Xenopus tropicalis: one gene and its partners. Each later gene encodes a partner of the first gene's protein in a complex. Links are inferred from orthologs where the notes say so. Each region holds a gene or a part of one and is shown on either strand. Other genes may lie near its edges. The genes, in order: calcr, gnb1, ramp1, ramp2 and ramp3.

Evidence for each region.
Region 2: the proteins of calcr (region 1) and gnb1 are in contact, whole or in part, in a cryo-EM structure (PDB 8F0K), measured with the Homo sapiens proteins. The link is inferred for Xenopus tropicalis from reciprocal best matches to the Homo sapiens genes CALCR and GNB1. Residues at the interface, in NP_001158210.1 of Homo sapiens: Arg174, Ser175, Arg404, Gln408; in NP_001269468.1 of Homo sapiens: Thr47, Arg52, Phe292, Ala309, Gly310, His311, Asp312, Trp339.
Region 3: the proteins of calcr (region 1) and ramp1 are in contact, whole or in part, in a cryo-EM structure (PDB 9AUC), measured with the Homo sapiens proteins. The link is inferred for Xenopus tropicalis from reciprocal best matches to the Homo sapiens genes CALCR and RAMP1. Residues at the interface, in NP_001158210.1 of Homo sapiens: Arg45, Lys46, Met49, Asp50, Gln52, Tyr53, Tyr56, Asp57, Met59, Gln60, Gln61, Thr75, Trp76, Asp77, Gly78, Asn124, Arg126, Phe235, Leu238, Ile242, Thr246, Val250, Ala251, Gln257, Arg258, Trp261, Tyr262, Leu265, Phe269, Ile276; in NP_005846.1 of Homo sapiens: Trp59, Ile63, Tyr66, Arg67, Ala70, Asp71, Phe83, Trp84, Pro85, Val89, Asp90, Phe93, Leu94, His97, Gly98, Phe101, Ser103, Arg109, Ala110, Val111, Arg112, Asp113, Pro114, Ile118, Leu119, Phe122, Ile123, Pro126, Ile127, Val129.
Region 4: the proteins of calcr (region 1) and ramp2 are in contact, whole or in part, in a cryo-EM structure (PDB 7TYX), measured with the Homo sapiens proteins. The link is inferred for Xenopus tropicalis from reciprocal best matches to the Homo sapiens genes CALCR and RAMP2. Residues at the interface, in NP_001158210.1 of Homo sapiens: Arg45, Lys46, Met48, Met49, Asp50, Gln52, Tyr53, Lys54, Tyr56, Asp57, Met59, Gln60, Trp76, Gly78, Arg126, Phe235, Leu238, Ile242, Thr246, Val250, Glu255, Lys256, Gln257, Arg258, Trp261, Tyr262, Leu264, Leu265, Phe269, Pro273; in NP_005845.2 of Homo sapiens: Trp86, Tyr93, Ser94, Arg97, Asp98, Glu101, Leu109, Pro112, Glu117, Ile120, Phe121, His124, Phe128, Cys131, Pro136, Phe138, Ser139, Asp140, Pro141, Leu146, Met149, Ile150, Pro153, Ile154, Leu156, Ile157, Leu160, Ile161, Leu163, Val164.
Region 5: the proteins of calcr (region 1) and ramp3 are in contact, whole or in part, in a cryo-EM structure (PDB 8F0K), measured with the Homo sapiens proteins. The link is inferred for Xenopus tropicalis from reciprocal best matches to the Homo sapiens genes CALCR and RAMP3. Residues at the interface, in NP_001158210.1 of Homo sapiens: Arg45, Lys46, Met49, Asp50, Gln52, Tyr53, Lys54, Tyr56, Asp57, Met59, Gln60, Arg74, Thr75, Trp76, Asp77, Gly78, Asn124, Arg126, Phe235, Leu238, Ile242, Thr246, Gln257, Arg258, Trp261, Tyr262, Leu264, Leu265, Phe269, Ile276; in NP_005847.1 of Homo sapiens: Cys57, Leu59, Ile63, Tyr66, Glu67, Thr70, Tyr83, Trp84, Pro85, Gln90, Ile93, Thr94, His97, Arg98, Phe101, Ser102, Cys104, Val106, His110, Leu111, Glu112, Asp113, Pro114, Val118, Leu119, Leu122, Ile123, Pro126, Val127, Leu129.

What each region holds. Positions count from the first base shown.
Region 1 is NC_030682.2:32,306,647-32,309,517, forward strand, and holds part of calcr (calcitonin receptor), read right to left. Parts: intron 254-2,871; coding exon 32-253; 3' UTR 1-31. UniProt on the Homo sapiens protein: G protein-coupled receptor activated by ligand peptides amylin (IAPP), calcitonin (CT/CALCA) and calcitonin gene-related peptide type 1 (CGRP1/CALCA).
Region 2 is NC_030683.2:91,940,284-91,943,800, forward strand, and holds part of gnb1 (guanine nucleotide-binding protein G(I)/G(S)/G(T) subunit beta-1), read left to right. Parts: intron 1-1,910; coding exon 1,911-2,073; intron 2,074-3,517. UniProt on the Homo sapiens protein: Guanine nucleotide-binding proteins (G proteins) are involved as a modulator or transducer in various transmembrane signaling systems.
Region 3 is NC_030685.2:59,159,638-59,163,154, reverse strand, and holds part of ramp1 (receptor activity-modifying protein 1 precursor), read left to right. Parts: intron 1-2; coding exon 3-141; intron 142-3,517. UniProt on the Homo sapiens protein: Accessory protein that interacts with and modulates the function of G-protein coupled receptors including calcitonin gene-related peptide type 1 receptor (CALCRL) and calcitonin receptor (CALCR). Required for the transport of CALCRL to the plasma membrane.
Region 4 is NC_030686.2:22,072,060-22,075,576, reverse strand, and holds part of ramp2 (receptor activity-modifying protein 2), read left to right. Parts: intron 1-685; coding exon 686-763; intron 764-1,486; coding exon 1,487-1,589; intron 1,590-3,422; coding exon 3,423-3,517. UniProt on the Homo sapiens protein: Accessory protein that interacts with and modulates the function of G-protein coupled receptors including calcitonin gene-related peptide type 1 receptor (CALCRL) and calcitonin receptor (CALCR). Required for the transport of CALCRL to the plasma membrane.
Region 5 is NC_030682.2:59,345,791-59,349,781, forward strand, and holds the start of ramp3 (receptor activity-modifying protein 3 precursor), read right to left. Parts: upstream 2,812-3,991; 5' UTR 2,504-2,811; coding exon 2,452-2,503; intron 1-2,451. UniProt on the Homo sapiens protein: Accessory protein that interacts with and modulates the function of G-protein coupled receptors including calcitonin gene-related peptide type 1 receptor (CALCRL), calcitonin receptor (CALCR) and G-protein coupled estrogen receptor 1 (GPER1).

The DNA of each region.
Region 1 (2,871 bases):
AAGCAGCGTGTCTGTCTGCAAACAGGTAGATTTAAGCATATGTATCTCCAGAGTTCAATGCAGTGATTTCTGACTCATCTCCGTATTTCCCATTTAATTGTTCACTATTGGAATCATGGTGATATAGATAAATGGGGACTTCGGTGATGGACGTTGCGGTATATGATGTAGAACGCATGGAGCAATGTTCTCGCCGTCTTTGGCCCCACTGGGTTTTGTATTGCATCCATTGTCTCTTCAAGGCTCCTTGTACCTGGAAACCAACACACACTGGTTACTTTCAAGAAGAACCAATATCTATGACTTGGTGGTTTTTCACCTTGGCTACAGGATGACAACTAATGGCATTTCTCACAAAGAAGGGGAAACTACTGAATGAACATGGGTATCGGCATCTTGAGGGGATGGTACCTGAATAAAATGCCTCTGGGCCCCAACCATCCAGTTCTAGGAGACAATTTATAGTTTATATTAATTATCTTGTAACTTTGGGGCAAATTTCTTAATAATTCAAGGTGAGAATTATGTTGCTATTCACAAAAAGTCCAAGTACAATTTTTTAGTGATCAAATCAAACTCATAAAAAATAGAAATCTTGCCACCAAAAAACCTGCTGCGATGCTATAGAATCCAACAGGAAGCTGGACCAGGATTTCAACACTTTTACCATCTAGGTTTTTTCTTCACGATTTGAGATTTGTTTTGATGCAATGAAGATTTTAAGTCATTTGGGAATCTTATTAAATATGAAAACCATGGAAAAAAAACATAATTGTGAACCCCCAACCCTGTAAATGAATAAATCTGCCCCTTATTGTTCAAAAACCTTAGAAACAGCAGTAGGAGACTCGAAAGAGAAAGAAACATCTAGGAATGGATTTGTGGTACAACAGATACAGCTCCTAAAAAATGAAGGAGAATCTCTGAATTCATTATCAAACATGGTTTTCACTAAAACATTAAGCCCCCATTAACTCGATTCCCTTAATATTAGCACAATGCTCATCAATTTCCTGCAGCTTAATGAATAGAGTATGACATATTGATCAAAGTAAATTAAAGGCTTTGATAAATGTCAGTTCTTTAACTGCTTTCCTGACTGTCAAGAAAATGGCCGTGACAGCCAGGGAAATGTTACTAACTTGGGGAAAATATTCAACTGCCGGGAATTCCTTCAACAATGACAGGATAACATATTGCAGCATTCCCTATTATACTGGTATAAGTGAGCAAATTCATTTTTAAATAATTACATACATGCAAAAGTCTTAATTTTAAGCAAACACAATGTACTAATGTGCATATTTTACATTTGAAACATAAGCTCATTTTGTTGGGTTATGTGCATGAACACTAGAGAATCATTTTACACAGACAAACCTGCAAACAGAGTGGAAGGGAACCATGACAGATTCACTTTGCTTGCTGGAACCAGTTACCCTCCCCCTTGAACTCATAGTATAATCCACCCTCTCCCTCACCTTGTTTCACTGTAAAGTGATGGATTCTTGTACTTGAATTCCCTCTGCTTTCCATAGTGGGCGGTGCACAGATTCTCTATTAAGCAGAGGGACTTCAAGTCCTAGAATCCATCACTTCACAATAGAAGAAGGTTAGGGAGGAATTTCATTACAGTGATTTCAATTCAACCTGGGATTAGGAACATATGTAAAAATCTATTTCGGAAGTTCAGATAGTGTTTATGCACCTTTTTTACACAAGGCCAAATGAATAAGCTCCAAAAAGGGGGTATATTTTCCCTTTAACAGCCTGTAGCGGAGAATCAATGATCTTTTGATACTGTCTTTCATTTGCAGCAGTTGCATTTAATATAGAGCGAACTGTCAGTGTTTCCCACCCACATACAGCTATAGAGCTTGCAAGAATGCACACAACCAGGACAGCATTCAATGAGAAATAAAAGAAAACAAAATGATTAAGGGAACATTGTGAGTTTACGCTACATATAACTGGCAAAATGAATTCTGTTTCCCCACGTATCTGTGGGTAAATTACATGCAGCTTAAATCTTGGCTTGTTCTTTTGTATGAGATTAAAAACCAGACTGTGTAATACTCGTCATGTTTCCTTCTGCATTAAATATATTCAAATATTTTGTTAAATTATCTTTAATGAAAACCTATACCCCCATAATGAATTCTTAACCAGCAGATAGTTTATATTGTATTAAGTGACCTATTAAAGAATCTCGCCAAACTGGAATATATATATCAGAAAATATTGTATGTATGTATAACTTTATTTATAAAGTGCCACAAGGGTATGCAGCGCTGTACAGTCTTACAGAATACAAAATTACACACAGGGAGGGCAAGTGAAAGAATAAATAAATACAATAAATATATATAAATGCACAGAGAATAAGTGCCATGAGGTATGAGACACAGTAGGATGGAGGTCCCTGCCCCGTAGAGCTTACATCTTTTCCCTTGAGCCACCATTTAGTGATGGCCTATGTGCTCCCTCAGAGATCAGCTGACAGGAAATAATGCAGCTCTAACTGTAACAGGAAGTAGTGTGGGAGCAAAAGACAGAGCTTTACCCATTCATTGGCTGGTGTGTCCTAGCATGTATGTGCGCCCTTGGTTTGTTTGTGAGCATCGTGAATCATATGATCCCTAGGGGTGGCCCTTAGTACTTAAAATGGCAATTTTCTACCTAGTTTATTTAGATGAAGCAGGGTTTTACACATAAGCTGTTTTATGTGATGTATTTTATAGAGACCTAAATTGTTCACGGGTATAGTTTGCCTCTAAAGGAGATAGGCTGCATTTAAATTTAAAAGTTTTGCCAGTAGCACTGTTCTAGCACTGGTAACGATTTCTTGCAGCCTAAGGAAAAATAATTTTA
Region 2 (3,517 bases), on another chromosome or scaffold:
CTTACCTTGTACCCCGGGCTGGTGCCCCTGTTAGGAGAAAACAGCACCAGCCCGGGGTACCTGTAGCGCAGCTCTTCCTCCTTCCGCCTTTGCTTTTGGAAGGACTTACGACGGGCGCATGCGCAGTAGAGTGAAAATCCGACTTCTCTGTTAAAGTTCGGCTTTTCACTCTACTGCGCATGCGCGCGATGACGGAAGGATGAAGAGCTGCAGCTACCCTGGCTGGTACTGATCTCTCCCAACAGGGGCACCAGCCTGGTGTAAAAGGTAAGCGATTTAAGTCACTTGGGGGTGCCTAACATAATTTAAACAATTAACTAAACCCAATAGGATTGTTTTACTTCCGATAAGAATTTGCATCTTTATTGGGATCATATACAAGGTACTGCTTTATTATTGCAGAGAAAAGGGGAATCAATTTAAAAATCTGAATTATTTGATTAAATTTTGAGTCTGTGGGAGGCAGGCTTCCTGTGATCAGTGCTTTCTGGATAACTGATCCCATACCAGTAGTTGTATTTAATAATTAGATTAGCTTAACCTGTAGTTGCTTATTTGGAGAGAGTTAAATATATTTTTAGAAAAATGCCTCTTAAAATCATAGCTAACTTATAGTTGTCACTTTGTTGGTGTGCAGTGTTCAGACACTTTATGATATCCTGTGCAACTATGTGCAGCCTTCTGGCTGGATTTTAGGCAGCCTGGTTTCAATCAGCTTTGAAGCATCATAGCCTTTGAATTAACAGTTCACTGGTGCAGGAAAGAAACTGAGATTTAGAGTAAACCAGCAGTAGGTTTCACATTAGCCTTTATCCTTTGTGGGCTTGTTTTAAATATTTATACAGTCTGTATAATTCAGATAATTATTGTTGAGATGTAATCCGCATTGTGGGTTACTTTAACTATCAGGAGAGAAGAAAGTTAGTTCACTTGATTGTAGTAACGTGTAGTTGTTTTATTTTTTTGCATTTTTGAAGTCTTAGAATTATTCAACATTTCTATTTTGAAATTTTAGGATCTCTGGTTTCTGGGGTCTCGCCATAGCAGTTAGTAAAAATGGAAAATTAATAACGAGTTTTTTTTCTTGCTCATGTAGTTGCTGACCCTTACAAATAGAAAGCACTTGCAAGCTGGAAAGAGTCGGAATTAACTTGAATGATTTTTGTATTAAAAGAACAAACCATTAGTTGCCCTTTCAGTACTGATATATATTTGAGTGTGCATAAATGTTGCTAATTTTCATTATTCATGCACAGTTCTTGGTAACAATCATTTTCTCTCTGTGAGTGATTGTGTCACTAATTCTAACTCTTGTTGTAGATAGTATATAAATGCTTCAGGCTGTACCTAGACTATACAGGTACATGTATAGGACCCGGTATCCAGAATGCTTGGGACCAAGGGTATTCCAGATAAGAGGTCTTTCAGTGATTTGGATCTCCATACCCTAGGTCTGCTAAAAAAAAAAAAAAAAACAGTAAAACATTAATGAAACCCAATAGAATTGTTTTGCATCCAATAAGGATGAATTATATCTTAGTTGGGATCAAGTACAAGGTACTGTTTTATTATTACAGAGAAAGAAAATTAATTTTAAAAATCTAAATTATTTAATTAAAATGGAGTCTATGGGAGACAGGCTTTTCAGTAAGATGGAGTTTTGTGGATAACAGGTTTCCGGATAACTGTTCCCATACCTCTACCAATAAGCATTGAAAGGCTTTGGCGTTTGGGAATACTGGAGTTGTAGTGTAACAAAAATGTGGTTGAAAATTGCCTAAAAAGTTGAACATGGGGTAGAAATAACGTTTTTTTCCCCTCCTATATCTGATCATTTTCCTGTAATCAGAGAATCAGTATTTCCCTTTTAATGTGTTTATGAGCTCTCCTTGATAATTTTTCACATTTAGGTTCATGCCATCCCGCTGCGTTCTTCTTGGGTAATGACTTGTGCATATGCTCCCTCTGGAAACTATGTTGCCTGTGGTGGTCTTGATAACATCTGCTCTATTTACAACCTCAAAACTCGTGAAGGAAATGTGCGGGTGAGCCGTGAATTGGCTGGGCATACAGGTAAGGCTTCTAAAGTTTAACTATAATAACTTATTGATAAGTGTGTAACCTAGTAATATTTTGTTGATGAGTAGGTTCCACTGAAGACATTGGTAAATGGCAAAAGCTTAACCATATTAACTCATCACAGCTGCCTCCTAATGCTCATACACTGGCATTATGAATAACATTTGCTACTTTCGCACTGGCTGAGGTGACATTTCAGATTGACTCTAATGTATCTGCAGCCTACAGGCTGGCAATAAAGTGATTCTGTCATGATTTATATGGTTTTTTATTTACATAGCAAATAATTCACTCTATCATTTAAAATGTTATTCTTGAGCCAAGAAATGTATTTTTTTACAGTTGTAATATTGGTGTGTAGGCAGCCGTCTCAATGAAAAATTCTGTTGTGTGATTCTGATGTGTTTTGAAAAAAACCTATTTTCCTGTGACCGTATTAATTTAAGGCAATAGTTGGAAGATTTTAGTATTACAATAGCTGTTGATATTATGCTTGTTTAAGAAACCATCCAAATCCCTTGTATTGCTTTAAGGCAGTGCTGTCCAACTTCTGTTGTACCGAGGGCCGGAATTTTTCCGACGTACGTGGTGGAGGGCCGATAATGGAAGCCAGTTTTGACCACTCCCCTTTTTGAAACCGCACCCACTTGAAACCACACCCATGTTATCACATGACCATACCCATATTAATGGTTGTAGTACAGCAAAAACCTGCCATACTCTGCCTGCCCTACCCTGCCTGTGTGTGCCATACTCTGCCTTCACTACCCTGCCTGTGTGTGCCATACTCTGCCTGCCCTACCCTGTCTGTGTGTGCCATACTCTGCCTTCCCTACCCTGCCTGTGTGTGCCATACTCTGCCTTCCCTACCCTGCCTGTGTGCCATACTTTCACTGTGTGTGCCATTCTTGGCTGGTTTGTGCCATACTTGGCCTGTGTGTGCCATACTCTGCCTGCCCTACCCTGCCTGTGTGTGCCATACTCTGCCTTCCCTACCCTGCCTGCGTGTGACATACTTTCACTGTGTTTGCCATTTTTGGCTGGTTTGTGCCATACTTGGCCTGTGTGTGCCATACTCTGCCTGTGTGTGCCATACTCTGCCTTCCCTACACTGCCTGTGTGTACCATACTTTGCTTGCCCTATGATGCCTGTGTGTATGGCACCCACAGGCAGCCTACAGTGACAAAATGCTGGCACTGCTCCTACAGTCTGCACAATAACTATATATTAAAAAAACTTTTTAATTGAAGTACCACCTCAGTATATGTTCTTTTTGTAGTGTGCAGGGATTATTTGTGGGTTTCTACTGCTCCTGAGGTGTGAACAGGGGAACAATGGGGGTGATTACAGCCTGAGCCTGAGGTGTGAACACTGCAGGGGGTGAACAATGCAGAGATTAAAAGGTGTGAACAACACAGGGGATTACATATTTAAACA
Region 3 (3,517 bases), on another chromosome or scaffold:
AGCGTCTCCCTTAATGGCGGTCGAATGCTGTAATGAGGCGCTGTACAGCCATGTTATGAACGAATTCTGTTTGCAGCATTTCGAGATAGAAATGGAAGAGCTGGGAAAGAAGCTGTGGTGTGACTGGGGAGAGACAGCGGGGTGAGTAGCAAAGTTTGAACACTGCTTGCCAAAAAGTCACAATAAATAAACCACTACATGTGTAAATCATTTCTGCTTGGCTAAATTCTGCTTGACGTTTCTGCTCAACTAAATATCAGACTTGCACAAAAAGATTCAAAAACAGTCCACAGATAATAAAGTAATAATATTTACCTTAAAAATCAAATGGCTTAAATTGGGCCAAAAGCTAGCATTCCAAAATGAGTTAAAATATGGTATTTCATCAGTTTGCATTTAAATTGATAGTAACATGGACATGTCACTATGCCTACACAAACCCTAGCGCTGCTATTCTAATGTATGTACCCCCCGTCTCCCCCCTGCCCGTCTGTCCACTTTCTACTAACCTATGTCAGTCTTTAGCACAGGTTAGTAACAAATCTCACAGGCTGGGGCTCTGTATACATTTGCCCTCCAGCCTATCAAAACATAAACCTGCCCCCAAATGCCCCATTACTCACAAAGCTGTTCAGCTTCAAGATGTGCTAGAGCCCACTACAGGTTAGTAAGGGGTTACCTGTGGGAGGCAGGGGGCACATACATTACAAAAGAATAGCAGCACTAGGGTTTATGATTTATTTGGAAAGTATCTCTATGCCTTTAAAATTGTGTGTCTAGAATTGTGTGGGCATCTTCACTCAATGGAAGGAGCTAAAAATACAATGGGGCTTGTCACGGGTAAAGAAAGTGTAACCCTTTTCTTACCACACTTCTGTAGAGCTGGATCACCCTCACTTTGCTTGGCTGTTATCTATGACAATCCAGTAGACCCCGAAACCTCTTTGCTTATTGAAAAAACACTGTGAATTGGGATTTACAGTGCAATGCCTCAACCAAGTGGGCACTGAGGAGTACACCCCAGGGGAATTTCTCTAAAGTACCTCCCCCAAAGTACCTCTCCCTTTGGATAATGCATGTGCTCCCACGTATCAGGCAACAGGCATCCGCAAACAGCTGAGCATGGACGCAGAATACTCTCTGTATGTGGCTGGAGCTCAAGGCTTGTCCCAAGCCGAGCACGCCGCAGCCTCTATTCTTACTGGCAGCTAGTGATGAGCAAATCTGTCCCCTTGTGCTTTGCGAAACGGTGAAAATGCCCACCCCATGGTTTCAGCTCCAAAGCAATGCTCTCCCTGGGTCCTTCTCTTTTCCCAGAGGTGCACTGGGGCTCCAGCCTGTAACTAGGCTGCAGGATGTCACAAAGAGAAAAACAGTGGAAAGGGTTTCTGCATTCTGTCACTAGTAGACACTAGTATTGTGGAGAGCTGGGAAGTATAACAGTAGAGTTTTTTTTTAATGCCTTTAATTATTCCTGACAGTGTCCTACTTTAGTGAAGCTTACAATGCGATTTCCCTGCTCACACACCCTGCCTGAAGGTTTTGGAATGTGGGAAGACCTGGTGCCCCTGCAAGAATGAGTGGAAAGAACATAGGGACAGAATCTACACTATTCTGGCATCACAATGAAATAGAAGCCCACAACACTATGTAGTAATACTATCCCTTGTGCTACTTCATTTACCTGATCATAGGGTTACCCATCCTTTATATCCAGGGCCAGAGTAGGATTTCAAGTACAAAAGTACAAAGGCCCAAACAGCCCCCCACAGGCCAAATAAATGACTGTCATAGGTACTATATTAAAAAGAAATAGGAAAGAAGTTTTCTTTAAACTGGTAGCAACAATAAAAGGGAGCTCTACCCCCCAACCTAATATAAAGCTGCTCAGAATGACTTTCTGAGCACTTTTGAAATTTAGGTTTTACACTATTAATATCATGAATTTGTAACAAGGGCAACCTTTTTGTAATATATATAATACATATACTGTATAGTATAAATGTATTACATCTGAAGTGTTGGAAGGAGAGATAGTTATATGGGCTTGTAGGGTGAGCAGAGGAAGCATTCTACATTGGCAAACACTCTAATTTTAGACACTAAATAAAGCTATGGCTCATGGGAGAGACACTAATATAGGACCTTGTGTCTTTTAAAAGCTAATAAAAGTTCAGTAGCAGAATGACAGCTCACATACAGCACGCTGGGGGATCTTTTTAAATACAAACCCTCTCTAATGTTAATGACAGAAAGAGTTTTAGTATGTTAGAAGGGCAGAAAGCAGCTACATATACACAATTTCACTCTGGAATAACAAAGTACATTTTAAATGAAAAGTTCTCTATATATATTTATTTTCAGTCTTCAGTTTATTGAATTGCTGACTCTAGCCAAAACGTAATGGGATTCTGTCATGATTTTTATGGTGTACTTTTTATTTCTAAATTACACTGTTTACATCAGAAGTTTGTAAGTTTGTATTAAATTTATCAGAGCACAAGTCACATGGCTGTGGCAGCCTGGGAAATGAAGAATATTGCCAGCCCCATAGGAAATTGCTAAATTAAAAATAAAAATTTGTTTGTGTTTTTGAAAAATGGATTTCAATGCAGGATTCTGCATGCATTTTGAAAAAAACATGTTTTCCAATGACAGTATTCCTTTAACCCTTTTACTGCCAGCTGTTTTGGTCAAAGCGGAACTTGTATTGCCAGACAGTTTTTGAACATTTTGCACTGTTTCACTTTAGGGGCCTTTCCTCGGGGGGACTTTTAGTTTACCCAGGAAAACAATATATCGTTTTTTTCAGAACAACCTAAGCTTTCAAAATATGGTAGAATTTTTGTGTAATTCCAATTCTGTAACAAGATATAGGCTTCTAAATGTCTAAAAATGCAAAAAAAATCTAATTTTCCATAATATAAACACACATACTAGAAACAAAAATTATTTTATGCATGAATATACAACTGATTTGGAAAATTCCATGTCTCCTGAACGTGCCAATACCAAATACATATAGTTTTATGGAGATTTGTCACTTGTATAGGTCAAAAACTCCCAGCAGTACACTACCAAATTTCCAAAGCACTGCTCCAGAAAGCTGCATACTTAAGATTTCAAGGACAAAATTTCCACTAACAGAAGGTTTATCCCAGAAAATTGTACATTTTTGGAAAGAACAGATTCTGGGGAATACAGAATAGGCACATCTGTCTGTCTACTCCAAACTATCAAGTCGCAATGCTTTCCTAAATTAATTGGTTTTTATCAAAATTTGTGATTTTTTTAAAAAATTGCTTCAAAGCTTCCAGTCTATAGTATCTTATCTCCTACAGGTCATAAAGTAACCAAATAAAACACCCTAAATATGAACACCAGGGATCCACTGAACAGTTTGATGCCCAATATGTATAGGTTTACCTAAGTATGTGGCATGTAGAGGCCCCAATGTGAACATACCCCCATATGATCAATCATTTATGTTATTTCAGCTCCAGCAAAATCAACACAT
Region 4 (3,517 bases), on another chromosome or scaffold:
ACTCCCATGTAACTGGAAGAGTCCCAAGCCGAACTTGGATTTCTTATTATTGAGTGCTATTCTGATATAAACTGGGAGCCGCTATCTTGCTACCTTCCCGTTGTTCTGCTGATCGGCTGCTCATTTCGATATCACTCCAACTTGCAGCTCAGCAGTAAAGTGTGACTGAAGTTTATCAGAGCACAGGCCACAGGACTGTAACACCCTGGGAAAGAAGAATATGGCTAGCCACATGTGAAATTTCAAAATAAAATATAAAAAATCTGTGTTTGTGAAAAATGGATTTCAATGCAGAATTCTGCTGGAAAAGCTCTTTTTACTTACACATTTTGAAAAAAACATGTTTTCCCATGACCCCTGGTCCCTGACCACTTTGCACTTGTCTTGCAGAACTGGGTTTCATAAATGGAGTATCTATCTCTGGTACAGCCTTATAGAAAACTCCATTTATATACCTTGGATTGGCTGGCCAGCTACTCAAATAGTCTGACTTGACTACATCTCCACACAAACCGCTGCTCCTGGTTCCTCCCTTCAAACTCCTGACTTGAATAATGAACAAAATTTGCTGACTAATTTAAGGGTCAGTTTGCCCCTGACCTTCAGCCACCCAGTGTATTCAGAAGTCAATAAAATTAAAGCTCCTTAAAGCACTTTTTTTCCTAATGCCAGTTTGTTTCCACAGTTGCCAGTTCAGTGGCAGTCCAGCAAAACCTCACAGATTCTGCTCATAATGAGACCAAGCACATTTTTAAGGACATACGTAAGTTTTGATTTTGATGTGATATCTCATTGAAGTTCTAACTACATACTTATATAGTGTTTGTTGAGTACAAAAGTAATTTGCATTGATCACTTTTAAAGGGGTAGTTCAGCATTAAACTAACTTTTAGTATGATATATAACTTTTTAGTCAATATGCAATTGGTCTATGCAATTTTTTTTTAGAGATTTTGAATTATTTAGCTTTTTATTTATCAACTCTCTAGTTTAGAATTTCAGTAGCTGTTTGTAATTCTGTGCAACATTCTAGTATACATTGCTGTTGCAAGGGATAGCTGTCTGATATTTGCATTCTCTGAATTACGGTTTATGACACAAAACCACTTTGAAGTTTCATATTAAATGAATATAGGAAAGTTAAAGGGGGTGGGCAAGTTTAAGGGGTGGGCAAGCTTAAAGGCCAGGCAAGGGTAAGATTTGTGATGAATTTATCATTGGGTGTCCACTGAACGGTAGCACAGTGCTTAATGTATCTATAACCTGGTGATTTTTCTTAAAAAGGACATTATTATGCAATTATTTGAAAAATACTATAGAATGTATATAGGTGTGTAATTCCATAGATTATTATTATAACTCTTAAGTGTAAGCTCTCTTTTGTATCAGTTGCAGAGTATTTTATAATTCTATATGTTTTATAAATATGTGCTAATAATAGTAATAATAACAATAAAGTTTCTATTTATAATTTTCTTTCCTGCAGAGTCAATGCATCTTTATTTTGCAGAGTCATGTTGGCTTGGTTACACCAGGAATATGTCCACAGTAAACTCGGATAATTGGTGTGAATGGCATCATATCAACAGGTAGACATTGTAAAAATATCAAAAGGGTTTGTGTTTTGTTGAGATATATATACACAGCAGTGATCCCCAACCAGTGGCTCGTGAGCAACATATTGCTCACCAATCCCTTGCCCCCAAACCAGGTAATTATTTTTGAATTCCTGACTTGGAGGCAAGTTTTGGTTGAGTAAAAACAATACTTACTACCAAATAAAGCCTCCTGTAAGCTGATAGGGTGCATAGAGGCTACCTAATCGCCAATCTTAGCCCTTATTTGGCACTTCTATTAATTTGTGATGCTTGTGTTGCTCTCCAAGTCTTTTTACATTTCACTGTGACTCACGAGTAAGATGGTAAGGTAAGGTTGGGGACCCCTGATATACAGTATATATACTTGTCAGGCTCAGAACACCAATATATGAAATTAGTGCTAATTTATTTTACTGCATTACGTCATGCATGTGACATCATGCTCATCGTGTGTGCGCGTGTGATATCACGCTCAGCGATGGAGCTGGAAGGTTGGGGGGTCGGGTTGCGCGCCTATGTCTCAGAAGTGACATCACGCACATCGTGCACACTTCCGCAGAGCAACCTGACCCCACAGCTCCGTTGCTGGATTTCCTATGGCAATCCATGGCGGAGGCTGGGCGCATTTTTTTATAAAAACTTATAGGCACCTGAGGTGCCTTATTATAAATACGGCCCTGGACTCATGATATTATTAATGACTCTCAACATTAAATTATACGGTGTCAGTGTTTTTTCAAACCTCAAGACATGGACCTAAAACATACAATTTTTTTTGGCTAGAATAAAAGTGCAATTAAGAAGACCCTAGCATACTATAACACCTTTATACATTTTTCAGCCTATTACCCATGTTGTCTAGAATAAAATAAATATAGAATCTGGAACAATGCTCTTTATGAATTAGAATACAGGAGGGTATGGCCTTCCCTGTCTTAAAGGAGAACTGTACCCTCAGAATGAATACTTAACCAGCACATAGTTTATATCATATTTAGTGGCCTATAAAGAATCTTACCAAACTGGAATATATTAGTAAATAATGCCCTTGTGCATCTTTTACCTTGAGCGGCCATTTTGTGATAGTCTGTGTGCTCCCTCAGAGATCACCTGATATGAAGTTATGCAGCTCTTGTTGTATGTGGGCCTTGGTTTGTTTGTGTACACTGTGAATTGTACAATCCCAGGAGGGGGGCCTTAATGGGTTGTTTTTAGATGCAATTGTTTTTGAACAATACAGTCAAATTTAGACAACTGCAATAACACTAAGAACTGGTGTATAAAATGCCTTATTTATATAATTCTCTCAATGAAAGCTACTATTGTATATGATACAACAACACATTTCAACAAAATAAGGATTACTGTATCCTTGATATGTACAAATATTGCTGCTTTAATCCCTGGACCCCCCCACACCCTTCCATTAATCCATTCCCCTAGCCTTAATTTCTTGTTTATGTATAGAAAATAGTCTTGGCAAAAGCATAAACCGCTGAAACCAAATATTTTTATGTTTTGCCTATCTTAAAGTCTGACTGAGCAGCAGTTACTTTGCGGCTTTTCATTTAGGTAATAATGGGCCATAATCAAGGATGTTATTGTAATCTGGGTTCTCTTTCTAGCAGACAATTGTACCATAGTGACAATATGATCAATGCCAAGAGTTGACTGTTTCATTGATTGTGAAACTTGTGACTCTCTGCTTTGTTGAACTAATTTGTGCTGTAGTAGCATACTGTATATATCTGGGTTCATCATTAGATGATACTCCACTACTGTGTGCACACACTGTATAACTAGTTTTTTTTTTTTCTATCCTAGACATTACAGTAATTTAAGAATATGCCTAGAGGACTTGGCTGAAATTTTGAATCTTGCATTCCCAAATAATATAGCCAATAACTACATTATGATGG
Region 5 (3,991 bases), about 27 Mb from region 1:
AAATGCCTCACTTCTACAGCAACCCCTAACACATTAAATATGTTTGCTCAGCCTCATTTATATTTGTTAAACGAATACTTATTGCATTAAGGCACAACAACCAGCTCTCACAAGGGACATGGGTGCAGGCACATTTTTCTCTTCAATGTATTGCTCTATCTTATGCAATCAGCAAATATGATTCGATCAGCATAATCGCAGCAGTCTTCTCAAGACTTTGTGCTCCTGGGAATGAGCAAGTAGACCTACAGCATAAAGTAGGAACAGATACCTGTTCATCAGCCTGGAAGGGTGAAATGTTATAACTATGTACAATGTCCTATTTAACAGTTTATGCAGAGTGTAATCTGAAAATCTATATTTAAAATGCACACCCATTCCTATCAGTGTATTAAACAAACCCACAAGACACATGACTGAAATAAAATAACGGCTACAGATAAAATTGTAAGATGATAAGTGAAAGTAGAGACTTATAAAAGCATAACTGTGCAAAAAGTACTTATTAATCATGTAATCTGTCTACTTTGTAAGAGCAAATCATTAATTTTTCTATAGCAAAATATGTTATCCACATGGAATTAGGTATTTTGACTACTCAAATACAGATGTAAACTTAAATACTGGTTGCATTTGTTGGACTGTGTTGGTTATCCTGGCAATGATAAGTAGATATCCTTGTTATGATAGAAGAGGCAGTAATCAACCTGCTTTTAACCATAGGAGGGAAGTAAAATGACTTTTATAGCTCAGTCTTTAACAATACAGGTATGGGATCTATTATACAGAAAACTTGGGAGCTGAAGTTTTCTGGATAAGCAACCCTTCCATAATTTGGATCACCATACCATAGGTCTACTAAAAATCATTTAAACATTAAATAAACCTAATAGGATTGTGTTGCCGCCAATATGGATATATATAGCTTAGTTACATTCAAGTATAAGGTGCTGTTTTATTATTTTAAAGGAAAAGGAAATCATTTTTAAAATGGAAAATAATTTGCTTAAAGTAGACTCTGTGGAAGATTGCCTTCTGGTAAGTCGGAACTTTCTGGATAAGAGATCCATACCTATATATTTTGATCCATGATAAAAACCAGTACTAAAGTTTTTTTTCTGGAGTCTCTAAACACAAGGGAAGAGATTAAATGATTACTGGTCATTTACGATAACTGAGGAGAGACCAGAGACAATTTCATAAAGTCTCCATTATTATTTTCCTTTATTTATAAAGTACTAAAATATTCTGCAGATCTTTACAGAAAAACCCTGTCCAAGTGAAACTTACAATCTAATGCCCCTATAATATTCACACACAATATGAGCATTTTTATCAAGGGACGATTTTTGTGGGTGGAAACCTATACAAACACAAGAACATAAAAACTTCCAGCCTTGGCTGGATTCAAACCTAGGGCCCTGGTGCCAATCACTGTTCCATTCTGCAACCCCACTAAAACAACAGACCACAGCTATATTGTGTTGCCATATAGCGAAGCTATTGTTTTAACCACCATTGTGCAACTTCCATGCATTTCTTTTTAACATTTGATTCCATTACTTTTCTTCAAGATGTTTGCACCTTGTTTCCCCCAGCTTGCAAATCTTGACATCCTTATTTATTTATTTATTTTAGGCATTTAGTTAGCTACTGAGCTAGACTGTAAGCTCTACGGGGCAGGGACCTCCTTCCTACTGTGTCTCATACCGCATGGCACTTATATATATATATATATATATACATATATGTATTTATTTATTATATCACTTGTCCTCCCTGTGTGTAATTTTGTATTCTGTAAGACTGTACAGCGCTGCGTACCCTTGTTGCTCTTTATAAATAAAGTTATACATACATACATACATACATACATGAATCCCTATTTGCTGTTATATGAGTATTAGTTCTGCCATAGCACCTCAAGTGTACATTGCTGTGAGTGTGGCTCCTTGATTTGTGGCAGGTATAACAGATAGATCCTGGCTAATACAATTACAGTACTTTCTTATAAGAAAACTCAAGTTCACAGACTGCACCCTGTGCTTGGCCAAGGCATAGTTTCACACTGAACAAGAAATGCCAGATGGATGCTAGCGAAAGGGGCAGAGGCAGTGACAGTGATCAAAAAATGAATGGTCAGATAGGGACAGACCGATTGGTATAGAAAATAGAAAGAAAAAACGAAAGATAGAGAGCTTGATAGATTATATATCTATAGATGGGAGGTAGGAGATAGATACATCTGTTTCCCTGGATGCCAAATGAACTGGGATCCATGTTTTTAAACAATAGCTTATTGCCATGAAGGAAATCCCATTTATCACCCAGCGGTTGTGTTCTTTGAAAGGAACAAAAGAGCCAGCAGTTGTTGTATGAGTGCCCACCAATGTCATACCCAGAGGGAGTGATGCCCCCATTCCCCCAGGCACACACAATGGGGCCACTTACCACAAACCAGAGACAGGAAAAGTTGCAGCAGAGCCAAGATGTGTTTATCCATCCCGATCCAAGGTAAGAGGCGCCGGGCGGGCAAAGGAAAGCATCTGAGGAGGAGGTTTCAGTAAAGCAGAGGAGACTTCATTGAGGAGATCGGCGGTGACAGTCACATAAACTTCTCTCTCCGTAATAACAGCAACAGCAGCAGTAGCGACACAAGACGAGAAAAGGCAGCCGCGGGCAATGGTCGTGTGTGTGACCGAGCTCCTATCAAACTCCACTCGAGATCCCCGTTACAATGAGCGGATTGTCATAATGACAGCGATACTCGCAATCCCTCAGCACGGAATGTGCGGACAATAAGAAGGCTGAGAATACTGCCGCTATGGGATTATTGGGATCCCCTGATAGCCGAATGTGTCCAGCCAGAAGGATGACAATGTGTGTAGTTTGCAGTGTGGTGCCAAAGTCTGGATCCTGTCACACTGTGCATCTGGGCAGCCTGGAGGGCGGGGCTTGCTGTGCATTGGGCGCTGCAGGGTCCTAGTACGGCGGGGAGCGCTGGCTGTGCAGCTGCAAATGCCTCTACATTGGGTTATTGCCACTGCTTGTCCGTAGGGCAGATAGAGTGCTTGGCTTGATGTTGCAGGCCCCGCAGAGCAGCACTTGGAGAAGGAAAGAAAAAGCTCCAAAGTATAGGGTAGCACCTGTAGGGAATGATTATACTAAGGTAAAATGGTGTCAAAACTGTTATCTCAGAGGTTTTCTGAGCCTCTGGCAGCTAGAGAGCAATAACAGGTTGGAATCTGGATAAGGGGGTGTTGTATATCAGAAGCTACTTTGTCTTTCCCACAGGACCACCCATCACTGGTTATTGCACACAGGGGCATGTTTATAAGGCAGTGAAGAGAATTAGCATTTCCATCCCCACTTTTTGCACTGCCATTCTCTGTTGCCATCAGGAACAGAAGCCACTGGTGAAACCAGAAGTAATAAATGCCCTGGCATAAAGGAACCTAAACCTGAAACCCACATTTTAACCTTTTTTATAGATAATATAAGAAATATATATGTCTCATCCAAAAGTCATACCTGCAACCTGCAGGGTACCAGATTTTTTGGCAGGTAACCTGCTGCTACCTGACCCGCTGCAAAACTCTAGCCTGGGCTACTAAGGAAAGCAGTGGTGGTGCACATTTTTTCTCAATAGTAATTTACATTAATGACAGTGGGAAGGAAACATGAGATGTTTTGTCACCCATGCTAGAAAAAAAAAAAAAAAGAAATGCCCTGGGTGCCAGAGCTCTTAAATAAGTATGTAAGTGAAACTTGCTCAGAAGCTAGCCTTGTCTGTTCAATTGCATGAGTTTATGAGGGTGTAACTAGACAGAAAGTGAAGCTTATAACTGCTTGGGAGCCCAAAGGGCACTGACTAATAAGCAGGTTCAGTATTATTTAAACGTCAAATTCTCATAGTTTGGGGAGAGGGGCTAAAATGATTTTGCTGTGGGGCCTAACAACTTTTGATTATGCAACAACTTATTCTTGCATA